Macaca fascicularis: one gene and its partners. The protein of the gene in region 1 interacts with the protein of each later gene in a pairwise test. Links are inferred from orthologs where the notes say so. Each region holds a gene or a part of one and is shown in the gene's direction. Other genes may lie near its edges.

What was found.
Region 2: the proteins of EGFR (region 1) and SH2D3A interact in binary tests that used the Homo sapiens proteins (3 or more experiments, as listed by UniProt). The link is inferred for Macaca fascicularis from reciprocal best matches to the Homo sapiens genes EGFR and SH2D3A.
Region 3: the proteins of EGFR (region 1) and GABARAPL2 interact in binary tests that used the Homo sapiens proteins (3 or more experiments, as listed by UniProt). The link is inferred for Macaca fascicularis from reciprocal best matches to the Homo sapiens genes EGFR and GABARAPL2.

What each region holds. Positions count from the first base shown.
Region 1 is NC_088377.1:75,245,952-75,249,511, reverse strand, and holds part of EGFR (epidermal growth factor receptor), read left to right. Parts: intron 1-193; coding exon 194-310; intron 311-892; coding exon 893-1,019; intron 1,020-1,117; coding exon 1,118-1,191; intron 1,192-2,018; coding exon 2,019-2,109; intron 2,110-3,560. UniProt on the Homo sapiens protein: Receptor tyrosine kinase binding ligands of the EGF family and activating several signaling cascades to convert extracellular cues into appropriate cellular responses.
Region 2 is NC_088393.1:7,530,447-7,534,677, reverse strand, and holds the start of SH2D3A (SH2 domain-containing protein 3A), read left to right. Parts: upstream 1-1,395; 5' UTR 1,396-1,521; intron 1,522-4,231.
Region 3 is NC_088394.1:71,416,072-71,420,316, forward strand, and holds the start of GABARAPL2 (gamma-aminobutyric acid receptor-associated protein-like 2), read left to right. Parts: upstream 1-1,409; 5' UTR 1,410-1,518; coding exon 1,519-1,552; intron 1,553-1,882; coding exon 1,883-1,938; intron 1,939-3,072; coding exon 3,073-3,245; intron 3,246-4,245. UniProt on the Homo sapiens protein: Ubiquitin-like modifier involved in intra-Golgi traffic. Modulates intra-Golgi transport through coupling between NSF activity and SNAREs activation. It first stimulates the ATPase activity of NSF which in turn stimulates the association with GOSR1.

The sequences.
Region 1 (3,560 bases):
TAGAATTTATTAAACTATTGAACGGAATTCCTTTTCTATTTGCAACCTTTCATTCTTTGTCCTTAAAGTAAATAAAGCCAAAGGAGGATGGAGCCTTTCCATCAGCACTCGAGAGGAGGACCTGGACTGTCTGTGTGAGGCCCGAGCACCTGGCGCCACCGTCGTCACCTTCCTTTCATGCTCTCTTCCCCAGGTAATTATGTGGTGACAGATCACGGCTCGTGCGTCCGAGCCTGCGGGGCCGACAGCTATGAGATGGAGGAAGACGGCGTCCGCAAGTGTAAGAAGTGCGAAGGGCCTTGCCGCAAAGGTAGGAAGCCCGCTGGTGTGCGGATGAGGCTTGTTCTCAGCTGCTGAGGCTGGGCTTTCATGCCACCTCCAAATGAACACTACTTCTTCTTCTCATTAAAAAACAACTATAAATATCATTTCTTTAAAATAGAAGATAAAGCTGCAAAGCCAGGTTAGGCAATGGGAAGGCACTGAAGGTTGTGATAGGGTGGGGGGCTCCGACGAGAACAGTGCACAGAGCCAGCCCCTCAGCAGCTGCCAGATGCCCAGCCCTGGGGAGAATCCAGGGAAGGCAGAGCTGGAAGCAGTCCAGCTCCATGCGGCCCAGGGGAAATAATGAGGAGAATGCAAGGTCGGTGTGCAGTGACAGGGATGGCATCTCCTATACCGCCGTAGCCCCAAAGTGTGCTATAGGTCCTCGTGTCCCCCTGCCCCCCGCACCCTCCCCAGCCCCGTCAGTGTTTGTTGAGTGAATGAAGGCTGATATGGCAGTGGCAGTTCCCGCGACTGGAATTCCTTCCTGCTTCCCTCTGCCTGTGGATCCCTAGCTATTCTTAATCCACCAATGTGAACGGAATACACGTCTCTCTTATCTCTGCAGTGTGTAATGGAATAGGTATTGGTGAATTTAAAGACACACTCTCCATAAATGCTACAAATATTAAACACTTCAAAAACTGCACCTCCATCAGTGGCGATCTCCACATCCTGCCGGTGGCATTTAGGGGGTGAGTCACAGGTTCAGTTACTTGTATAGAGAAAAACAAAGTCTGCCTTTTTAACTGGTAGAGACAGGAGATCAATAATCACCTGTTGTTTGTTTCAGTGACTCCTTCACACACACTCCGCCTCTGGATCCACAGGAACTGGATATTCTGAAAACCGTAAAGGAAATCACAGGTTTGAGCTGAATGATCGCATGAATATAAATGGGAAATCAGTGTTTTAGAGCGAGAACTTTTCGACATATTTCCTTCTCCCTTGGAATAAAAACATTTCTTCTGAAATTTTACCATTAATGGCTGATGTTTTGATACTTTTCAAAAGTACAGTTTCCCTGCAGGCAAAAGGGGACACGTTAAGCCCAGGCTTAGGTCATTCACTGCGCATGTGAACACGCTTTCTCCCTCCTACCCGGCCCCAGCCAGCTGCCTTGGTGGCCCATAACCCCTGCGGGTAGAGGGAGAGGACAGGGGTAGGCGAGGGGCAGCCTGGGCCTCAGGCTTTTGAAACTGGATGCCAGAGCCCTGTGGGGCCACGGGCAAGCCTCGGGTCCATGACTGCCACCTGAGCTCCGCTTCCTTCCTCTCTAAAATGGGAAAATTAGACTTATATAACACAACTGTTTTAGGGTTGGAATCAAATAAGGAAAATCTGTAAAGCTCCTTGTATGTGATACCAGATCCATAATTGGCAGATAATCGCAGCAGGAGCCTCTTGGGGGTAATCAGATACCCTGCGCAGCAGGGGTCCCAGGGCCACAGCCAGAGGGGCGGCGGGAGACATGGGGAATCGCTGGGGGAGGCGGGAGGCAGCCGTGAACTCTGGCTGGCCTGCATCCGCCCATTCGCATGTACACTCAGAGAAGATGATAACGAAAAAGAAAGCAAATCCAATTTTCCCACTCACTGTTCCTATAATACAAAGTCCCTGAGAGTCTAGAGTAATGTCTCATACAAAAAAGAAACTCCTGTGTGGTGTGTGTCTGAGTCTCCTCTGCCTTACAGGGTTTTTGCTGATTCAGGCTTGGCCTGAAAACAGGACGGACCTCCATGCTTTTGAGAACCTAGAAATCATACGTGGCAGGACCAAGCAACAGTAAGTTGACCACAGCCAAAGAGCCTGGTAGATTACATTTTGCCTTTTTAGTTGGAAATTAGGCTTAACAGGAGAGTTGCTAAGATAGGGCACAGAGCTCCTGTATCTCTCGCCGGCATTCCCGAATGCTATCTCACATGAGCAGGCACAAGGATCAAGACTGAACGACCACTGGCACAGGCTGTCTGCTAAACCACAGACTTCTCAGCATTCGCCAGTGCTTATGCTTCTGTGTCCACTCCAGATCCCACATTGCACTTAGTTGTCAGATCTTTTCAGTCCATTCTAACCTGTAATAGCTCCTATGTCTTTCCTTGTCTTTCATGGCCTTGACTCTTATAAAACGTGTTGTTCAGGTACTTTGCAGACTGTCTAACCATTTCAGTTCGGCTGGTGTTTTCTCAGGATGCAGTTGAGGTTATGCACATCTTATCACGGGGACCAGATAGACTTTTTAGCACCACTCTTTAAGAATTTCCACATTTTCAGCTTTGACAGTGGAATAGACTTGCAGGTGCTCACACACAAGCATCTTTAATATGGTAATGGTAATCATCAGTTTAGTGGTATGGAGGAGGAGATGGGAATCTCTTAGTAAAACCAGCCTTGGAAGCAGCCCCCTTATGAGAACTGCTGCCCCTACTTGACTCCTAAAGCACTAGATAATACTGTGCAACATTAAAGAGAGTAAGAGTGCATGAAATATGCATTGCCTCCCATAAACTCCCTTGGCTCTGAATCTCTGATACTAAATATGTGGCTACCATTGCTTCCCAGAAAAGCCTTTTTGCTCTGAATTCTCTGGAATACCTTCTTTGCCTGAGATTCTTATAAAAACAAGAGATTTAGAGCAAGTTTCTTGGATGGCTGGTATGAGCCAGTTGGCTTAGTTGTAGGGATTTAAACAAGATAAGGGTTACTTACTTTTCACATTTAATGAGAAGTCTGGTGATTCCAGCTCCTACTGAGGCAGGGTGGCCACAGGTTCCAGGTCATGACTCACTGAAGCTCCAGGCCTGCCCTGCAAGGACCATCTGGCTCTTCCCTGGTGTCTGGCCTCCCTGGGCATATGTGGGGGAGAATTCCTAATGGTATTGGTTACAGGCTCCTATGCAAGACCACTCATCAGTGTAGGAGAAAGGAAAAAGATGGGGGAAAGAAGAGCAGCAGGGAGAGGAGAAGCCTCTGGATGATACTCTAACCCCCTGCCATCCAACATCTGAACATCAGTCTTTTCATCCAGTGCTCTCAGCTGGCCCAGTCCCCAGCCTGGGGTCAGATGAGAGCTTCCTGCAAATGCAGATCTCTTTCCTGTGGCTCCTTCTCAATTACAGACAGCTCCTCCACAGGGTGCACTCTGGCCTTTTACTCCCTCCCCAAACCAGCCCAGCCCTCCCAGCCTGCATCATCGTGGTCCTGCAGGGGCTGGAGGTTCTCACACCCATCATGGT
Region 2 (4,231 bases), on another chromosome or scaffold:
TGAGACCACTCTGGCCAACATGGTGAAACCCCGTCTCTACCAAAAATACAAAAATTAGCCTGTAATCCCAGCTACTCGGGAGGCTGCAGCAGGAGAATCGCTTGAACCTGGGAGGTGGAGGTTGCAGTGAGCTGAGATTGCTACCACTGCACTCCAGTCTGGGCAACGAGGGTGAAACTCCATCTCAAAAAGAAAAAAAAAAAAGCGAGTTGACAGAACAGCCCTGGTATACAGTAAGTGCTCAATAAATGTTAGCTGCTGCTACTGCTTTTCAGACTGTGGTTACTGGCTCAAGCACAGTGGCTCATGTCTGTAATCCCAGCGCTCTGGGAGGCCAAGGCAGGAAGATCGCATGAGCCCAGGAGTTCCAGAGCCTGGGCAGCATACTAAGACCCCATCTCTACAAAAAAATAAAATAAAATTAGCTGAGCGTGGTGGTGTGCACCTTTAGCCTCAGTTGCTTGGAAGGCTAAAGCAGGAGAATCGCTTCAGCCCAGGAAGTTGAGGCTACGGTGAGCTATGATCAGGCCACTGCGCTCTAGTCTGGGCAATATAGCAAGACACCGTCTCTACAAGACAAGACTGATGTTAATATGAGGAACTTATCAATAAACGTGGCCAAAGCGTCCTCTCTCTTGCACTAGGTCCCTGTCACCTTTTCTCTTGTTCATCTCCAGGCATCATGATGGAAGTCCCCCCTACCCTTCCTCCCACCTAGGAAACCACCTGAATGATTTGCCTTCCACCTCCCCCAAAGTCCCGCCCCCCTCCAGCGTGCTGTCACTGAAGGAAGCTGTCGCGTTTTCCCGGATATCTCTCCACAAAACCCGCCACCCAAATGGGGCTTCTTTCCGGAAAATCCAGGAGGGCGGTCTGGAGGAAGCGCACCCCTCCTTACGTCACAGCCGCCGCAGCTACCCCAGCCTGGCGTAAGAGCCCGAGGGAGTTGCCCTGCCCTGACCCAGAGCCTTGGCGGGGAAGGGAGAGAGATACCCCACCCCACCCCACCCTGGTACCAAAGGACCATGGGTGCTTGGGGCCGCCTGGGTGGAAGGGAGAGGCCGGGTTCTAAGGGGCGGGAACGTTGGGATGAAATTTGTTCTATTTCCTTAAGGGGCGGGGCTAAGAAGGAGGTGGTTGCGAGTGGGCGTAGTCACTCGGGTGGGCGTGGCTATGTACAAGGGGCGGGGCCATTGACAGGAAAAGATGCGCAGTGCTCCCCTAGTGGGCCGGTTCTATGGAGAAAGCAGTGCCACGCACAGGGGGCGTGGCTAGAAGCAAAAAAAATTGTTTCAAGGGGGCGGAGCAAGAGCCTGGGAAGTTAGTTTGAGGCGGGGCCTGCAGGGGGCGGGGCCTGCAGGAGCCGTGGTCAGGTAACTGGGCTGGGTTCCCACTAGGTGTGGTCTCGGAAGGCTGGGGCGGTGGCAACGTGGAGGGCGGGGGTGACAGCAGCCCCGAGCCCGCAGAGCCTCAGCTTCCGCCTGGTCCCAGCCTCGTGGGAGCCCCGCGGGTCCTGCCTAGGTGAGTGGAGCCCCAGGGCAGATCCAGAACCAAGATTATTGGGATGGGGCGTCCTCTCTTTCCAGGTGGGGCCATCGGCTCGCAGGGAGGATCTGGGGTAGAAGAGGTCGCCTCGCGAATGAGTGGGTCGCTGTGCATTACGCGTGTCGGTGTGCCCGGGCTCACCTGGGCGTGATCCCCTAAGTGTATTTCCTGTGCAGCACAGAAAGCCATTGTTTCCATTTTTGCCTGAGTGATCCTTTTAAACGGCGAATCAGATCGGGCTCCTCCTTTACTTAAAACCCTTGGGCAGTAGAGATTAAAATTCAAAGTCTACCAGTTTCTGCCCGGGCTCTCCTCCTGATCTCTCTAACATCGCTGCCCTCCTATCTGCTCCTTGCTCATGGTATTCCGGCTACACCATGCGCCTTGATGATGTAAAATATAAAAAGCAAGTCCACCTCACCTCCAGGCCTTTGCCCTTACTGTACCCCTCACCCAGACGACTCCTCGAAATCTTTGCCTAACTGCCTCCTTCTGTACTGAGGTCTCAGTTCCAATGTCACTTTATAGGAGAGGTTGTCCTGTCCAGCCTCCTTTATCACATCTCCCTGGCTTATCACTTTCATTGATAACTCTTAGAAATGGTCTGTCTTCTCCATTCATCTCGCGCTTGTTTGTGGTCTCTCTTGCCCAGCTGACTGCAAGCTCTGGAGGGTAGGGCGGTGCCAGGCTTTAATCTCCTTAGTCACTGTATCTCTAGGTTCTAGAACAGAGCCTGGTGCACAGCAAGTGCTCCAGCAATGTTCGTCCAATGTCAAAAGCGAGTCCTGCATACATCTGTGTTTGTATCGCCTGTGCTGGTGGTTCCCACCCTCCACATCCCTCCCCACACGTGGACACATGTTTATGATCCAACTGGAACATGAATAATTCCCTCTCCTCTCCCCATGCTTGGTCTGATGCCTGACTCTGCCCCCTTCTCTTCTGTGCCCGAATAAATGATCCCAAAGGACTCAGAGGCAGGAGAATGACTTAGTTGGCCTTTGGCTGACCTATGGCCACCCTGTGTCCCCAAACTAACCAGAACCTTGCCATTGACTCAACTTCACTCTCACTAAGGGAGACACAAGGCAGGAACTTGGGGTTGGGAGACTCTGAGACCGAGGCTAGCCCTGGTCCAGGTGACAAACAGGAAGTGCAAAGGCATTCCAAAGACACACCTGGCTTCAGGTATGCGGCACGGGCAGCTGGCTCCCTGCCCAGAGCTCCTCCCCTAAAGCCACCTCGGGCTAGTCTGGGAACTTCCTGCTGACTCAGGAGACAGAAATTTCTCTGCAGACCCTACCAGACCCAGAAGACTTTGCAGGGCTGCGGGGAGAGCTTGCAGGAGAGTAAGAAGCAGATTATCTCCTTCTGGACCATTCAGAGAAATCTCCCCCACCAGACAGACACCTGAGACACACTGGCCCTGAGGCCTGTGAGATTATCAGGAAACTACCAAAATGTCTGAGATCTAAATTCGATCATCATGATGACCAAATATATGGGCTCTGAAATACAAGGACCTGCAAAGGCAACATTGCTGTTTGCTGACATTGCTACAAAATGTGACCTTCTAAAAATCTTAACCCTGGGTTACATTTTTTTTCCCCCCCGAGATGGAGTCTTGCTTGGTCGCCCAGGTTGGAGTACAGTGGTGTGATCTCGGCTTACTGCAGGATCCACCTCCCGGGTTCAAGCGATTCTCTCGCCTCAGCCTCCTGAGTAGCTGGGACTACCACCATGCCTGGCTAATTTTTGTATTTTTAGTAGAGACGGGGTTTCACTGTGTTGGCCAGGCTGGTCTCAAACTCTTGACCTCGGATGATCCACCCGCCTCTACCTCCCAAAGTGCTAGGATTACAAGAGTGAGCCACTGCGCCTGGCCCCGCCAGTGCTGCATTCTAAAGCAAAAAATAGGGGTTAGATTTGCACCTATCCTGAGAACCTCTGAGTGTGCGCATAGGTTGCCGAGAAGCCATGGACCTTTGTAAGTTAAATTCCCCCTGATTGGGATGTTTTTTCACCCAGTCACCTGGCACACTCCCCAGAATTCCTTCCAGACTTTACTCAATGAGACCTTCCCTGGCCACATAGTCAAAAATGTTCACCCAGCCTGGGCAACATGGCAAGACCCGATATATATATATATATATATATATTTAAAAATATATATATATATATATTTTTTAAAAAATATATATATATATATATAAATTAGCCAGGCATGGCCAGGCACAGTGGCTCATGCTGGTAATCCTAGTGCTTTGGGAGGCTGAGGCAGCTGGATCACCTGAGGTCAGGAGTTCGAGAGCAGCCTGGCCAACATGGAGAAACCCCATCTCTACTACTACAGGCTCAAGCCTGTAATCCCAGCACTTTGGGAGGCCGAGACGGGCCGATCACGAGGTCAGGAGATCGAGACCATCCTGGCTAACACGGTGAAACCCCCGTCTCTACTAAAAAAATACAAAAAACTAGCCAGGCGAGGTGGCAGGCGCCTGTAGTCCCAGCTACTCGGGAGGCTGAGGCAGGAGAATGGCGTAAACCTGGGAGGTGGAGCTTGCAGTGAGCTGAGATCCGACCACTGCACTTCAGCCTGGGTGACAGAGTGAGACTCCATCTCAAAAAAAAAAAAAAAAGGCCAGGCACGGTGGCTCAAGCCTGTAATCCCAGCACTTTGGGAGGC
Region 3 (4,245 bases), on another chromosome or scaffold:
GAAGCTAGATTCCACAGCATCAATCAGGAATTTCCAGTGTAGGAAATGATGAACTACCATGTTCAAACATACAGGCTTTACAGGTGCATCAGAATCACAAGCACGTGGCAGAGTTCATGTGTCCAATTAAGTGAACATTCTTGCTACATGTTCAGCAGCTTATAAACAGATGGTGACCCACACCAGACTGCCTTGATGACTCTGCTTGGAAAAAAGGCATTACGTCACTGACTGGAGAATCTCAAAGCATATGTCCGGGCAGGTGACACACACATAGCTCAGGCTGTGATTGCTAAACCACTTCCACAGCCAAACGAGGAAAACCATCTCATGACCAGCTCTCAGGGGAATTCTCCGAATCTGACAGTCACCTCTAACTCCTCTGCCAGCTAAGATTAAGGGGTCTGTGATCAGTGATGTTACACTCCTCAAATGTGCATTTTTTTTTTTTTTTTGAGGCAGAGTCTTGCTCTGTTGCCCAGGCTGGAGTGCAGTGGTGTGATCTTGGCTCACTGCAACCTCCACCTCTGTGGTTCAAATGATTCTCCTGCCTCAGCCTCCCGAGGAGCTGGGACTACAGGCGCCCGCCACCATGCCTGGCTAATTTTTGGGGTTTCACTACGTTGGCCAGGTTGGTCTCCAATTCCTGACCTCAGGTGATCCACCCGCGTCGGCCTCCCAAAGTGTTGGGATTACAGGCGTGAGCTACCGCGCCCCGCCTCAAATGTGCATTTGTGATACCTTTTCGTAAATGTTTATTCAAATATTTATTCACGAATAAAGCAAGAAAATGGGATTTGTTTAAATTCAATTTCTAGGTCCAAGGCAACCTATTACAGCTGTCCCTAATACTGTACCTCCGGGTTGTCCTCAGTGCCACCTCCTACAGTGTCCTCAAACACCACCCCTACCATACTGAGCCCCCAATCTGTCACCCCTCCGAGCAATACTCCCCAACTTTCAACGCCCTAAACAGCTCCTTTGTTATCGCCAAGCACTAGAAACCCCTCATGTCATTCTTACCCCTAAAGACCGTTCTTGTCACCAATTCCCCATTCAGACTTTCCCTATGAACCGCTCTAAGCGCTCTCAACTATCAGCCACACCCCCAAACAGCCCTCAGTAAGAGCCCTACACTATCAGCCAGACGTTTCCCGCCACCAACGCTCCCGAGACCCCACTCCTGTCACCAGTTCCCCGAACATTCCTTCCTGGGGTCGCAGATACTGCTCACAGACGTCCCCGTAACCAACTTCATCACCTCCGTAGCCCAGGATCCTCCGAGGGGGCCATCCGCTGCCCCGCCCCTTTACTTGCGGCCCGGCCCCTTGGCGCGGCGTCCTGGCAAATAGCGCCGGAAGCCCCGCCCCCGACCGGTTGCTAGGCTCCGACAGCCGGAAGTCCCGCCTGCCGTGTAGTCGCCGCCGTCGCTACCGCTGCTGCCGTCGTTGTTGTTGTGGTCGGTGCGCTGAGCTCCGCGGCTCCGAGAGCCGGTTCCGTCCCTTTCCCGCCGCCGCCATGAAGTGGATGTTCAAGGAGGACCACTCGCTGGGTAAGCACTTGGCCGTCGGCCGGGCTGCTGGTGGCCGGGGCGGCGGGTGGGCCCCCTCCCCCACTGTGGCGGCCCTGGTTCGGGTGGAGTGGGGCGGATGCCCTGCTCCGGTCTCGAGTCGCCCAGGCCCTGGTGCCTGGGGCAGCCGCCTCCTGACCCCGTGTCACCCTCCGCGGGCCCTGCTGGGAGCAGTAGGGGACAGGACCGCGGCCGCAGGGACGCCGGAACCAGGGCCTGGGCTGTGCGCAGGGCGCAGGAGGAGGAGGGCCGGGGGCCGGAAACCGACCGGGGGGCAGGCGCAGCCGTCAGCCCTGTTTGTTTCTCCCACAGAACACAGATGCGTGGAGTCCGCGAAGATTCGAGCGAAATATCCCGACAGGGTTCCGGTGAGTGTTTGGACTCTCCGCCCCCTCACCTCGCTGTCACCTCTGTCGTCTGGGACCCGTAATAGGCCCCAGGCCATTCAACAGTTGACAAGTTGAGATTCCAGTCCCAGTTAATAGTAACTGACAGGCCAGACCGGGATGAGGCGTTCCAGGGCCGGGGCGTGAGGGGCTCGGGCTGGTGCTGTTCAGGGTGCCTCAGTGCTGAATCTCCCGATCTAGGCCAGCGAGCCGTCTGCAGCCTCGGGGCTCCCTGGCCAATTATGTAAGGAACGATGTTCTAGGACAGGGCAACAGGTCACTGCCACTTTTGGGAATGGTGGTGGAGCGAGACTGTCACTTTGGTCTTGGAAGTGGTACTTGAGTCTCAGGACGTTCATCTTTTACTTTGAGCCTCCATCTTTACCTAACTTCTAGCTCCGTTACCTCACCTTGACCCTGTCATCCTTGCCTGACCAAAATAATGTGAAAAGCGCTGAAAACCCTTCTGCCATGTTTTCTTCTTAGTCAATAATAAATATGATGTTATATTTCTTTCATGGTTGGGGAGACAGTTTTGTAATCCTTATTAATTTTTAATGGACATTAAGGCCTGTTATTGTAGCTCTTTGCTTGTGAATAATTCGTCTCAGGAAAGGAGTAGGAGGGACGGATTTGAAACTTGTTCAGAGAGGAGCAACAGGCCAAATGAAGAGCTTGGTTCTTGACTGGCTGAAATTCCAGGCATTCCCATTAGTCCATCCGTTCTTGTCTCCTGTGTTCCTTGGGAACACAGTAGTGTTTCTTGTAGTGTGAAGGTGGATCCATTCTGGGGTCCTAGAGTAACGGACCATGGATGAAATCCTCCCCAGATACTCTTAGGTCTGCCCAGATAAAATGTGGAAAAGCTTAGTAGTAAGGGCTGCATTTCTCTTACATAATTGACCACAGAAAAGCACTTACCGTTTCCCTATAACACATTTATATCAATTCTTAACCTCCAGAGCATGTGGTTTATTAAGCCAAAGACATATTTTCTCCTGCTATGCAGTTTCCCACCCACCTCCTTGCCCACACTCTGTTCGTCAGCTCCTCAGCCATGTGAGGCCAGAGCCTCCCTTTAGGAAACGCAGTCCTGACCTCTCTTTACTTTCCCAGGTGATTGTGGAAAAGGTCTCAGGCTCTCAGATTGTTGACATTGACAAACGGAAGTACTTGGTTCCATCTGATATCACTGTGGCTCAGTTCATGTGGATCATCAGGAAAAGGATCCAGCTTCCTTCTGAAAAGGCGATCTTCCTGTTTGTGGATAAGACAGTCCCACAGTCCAGGTGAGAGGTGTTTACTAGATGGGCCCTCTGGTATTAGACATCTGGTTGGCTGCTTACGAAACTCCAAACCTTTGGAAGTCTGAAAACTCTTAGGGGTCCTGACTAGAAATCTGTATTTTGTGCTCCCTGACATCAGGGGCTCCAGGAAAATAATGGCTGCAATACATAAGAGTGCATTTTGGATTCAGAAAATAGAACAAGGCCTGGACTTTAAAAAAAATGATGAAACTCAGCCTAACATCTCCAAGAATCTTTTAAAACAGTTGAGAACTTATTTAGGCTTAAGCTATAGGTAGAACTGAGGCCTGAAATGAGGTTTTCTTTCCCGAAGGCAGTCCTGGCACGCTCCTCCACTGGGAGCCTGTGGGCCCTGCTGAGGCTCACTCAGTTAATCATCCAGTTTGCTTGCTTCCAAACTTGGTCAACTCTTTGACATTGTAAGTGTCTATAGCTGCCTGATCCTCAAGTCTGACAAAATGACTGCTGCACAGTAAAGGGCTCTGAAGTCTTTTTATAGACTCATACCTCCCTTGGTAGCACCTGCTTTGACTGTCAGACTATTGTGCTGCCTGGAAGCAGTCTTTGGGACTGTAACTTGTGGCCTGAATGTAGGCAGAGGCATTAGAATTCCCCTTTTCTGTGTATTTGATAGCCCAGCTTTAGTCCCCTGTGGAAAGAGGAAAATGGAGGGGCTCCGTCTGACATCCTAGTCAGTCCTTTCCCATTACTGAGTGGGTAGTTTTAGGCCCTGATCCAGATTCTGGCCCCCACCTCTCCCCTGAGTGTGAGTTCCTGGCCACATCTTATCTTAGTGACCCAATGTAGGTTTCATATACCACCCCCAGAAGTAATACTTCTAAAAGTGAAGGCTTTCAGAAGCCCTGGAAACTAGCCCAATGTTGCCCACATAGGTTCCTGTTGAAAATCCTTGAAGTCTCCAGAAGAGGCCTCTGCCAAATTCCAGTTACTTACTTCTGTTAAAGGTGGAAAGCTCTGGCTA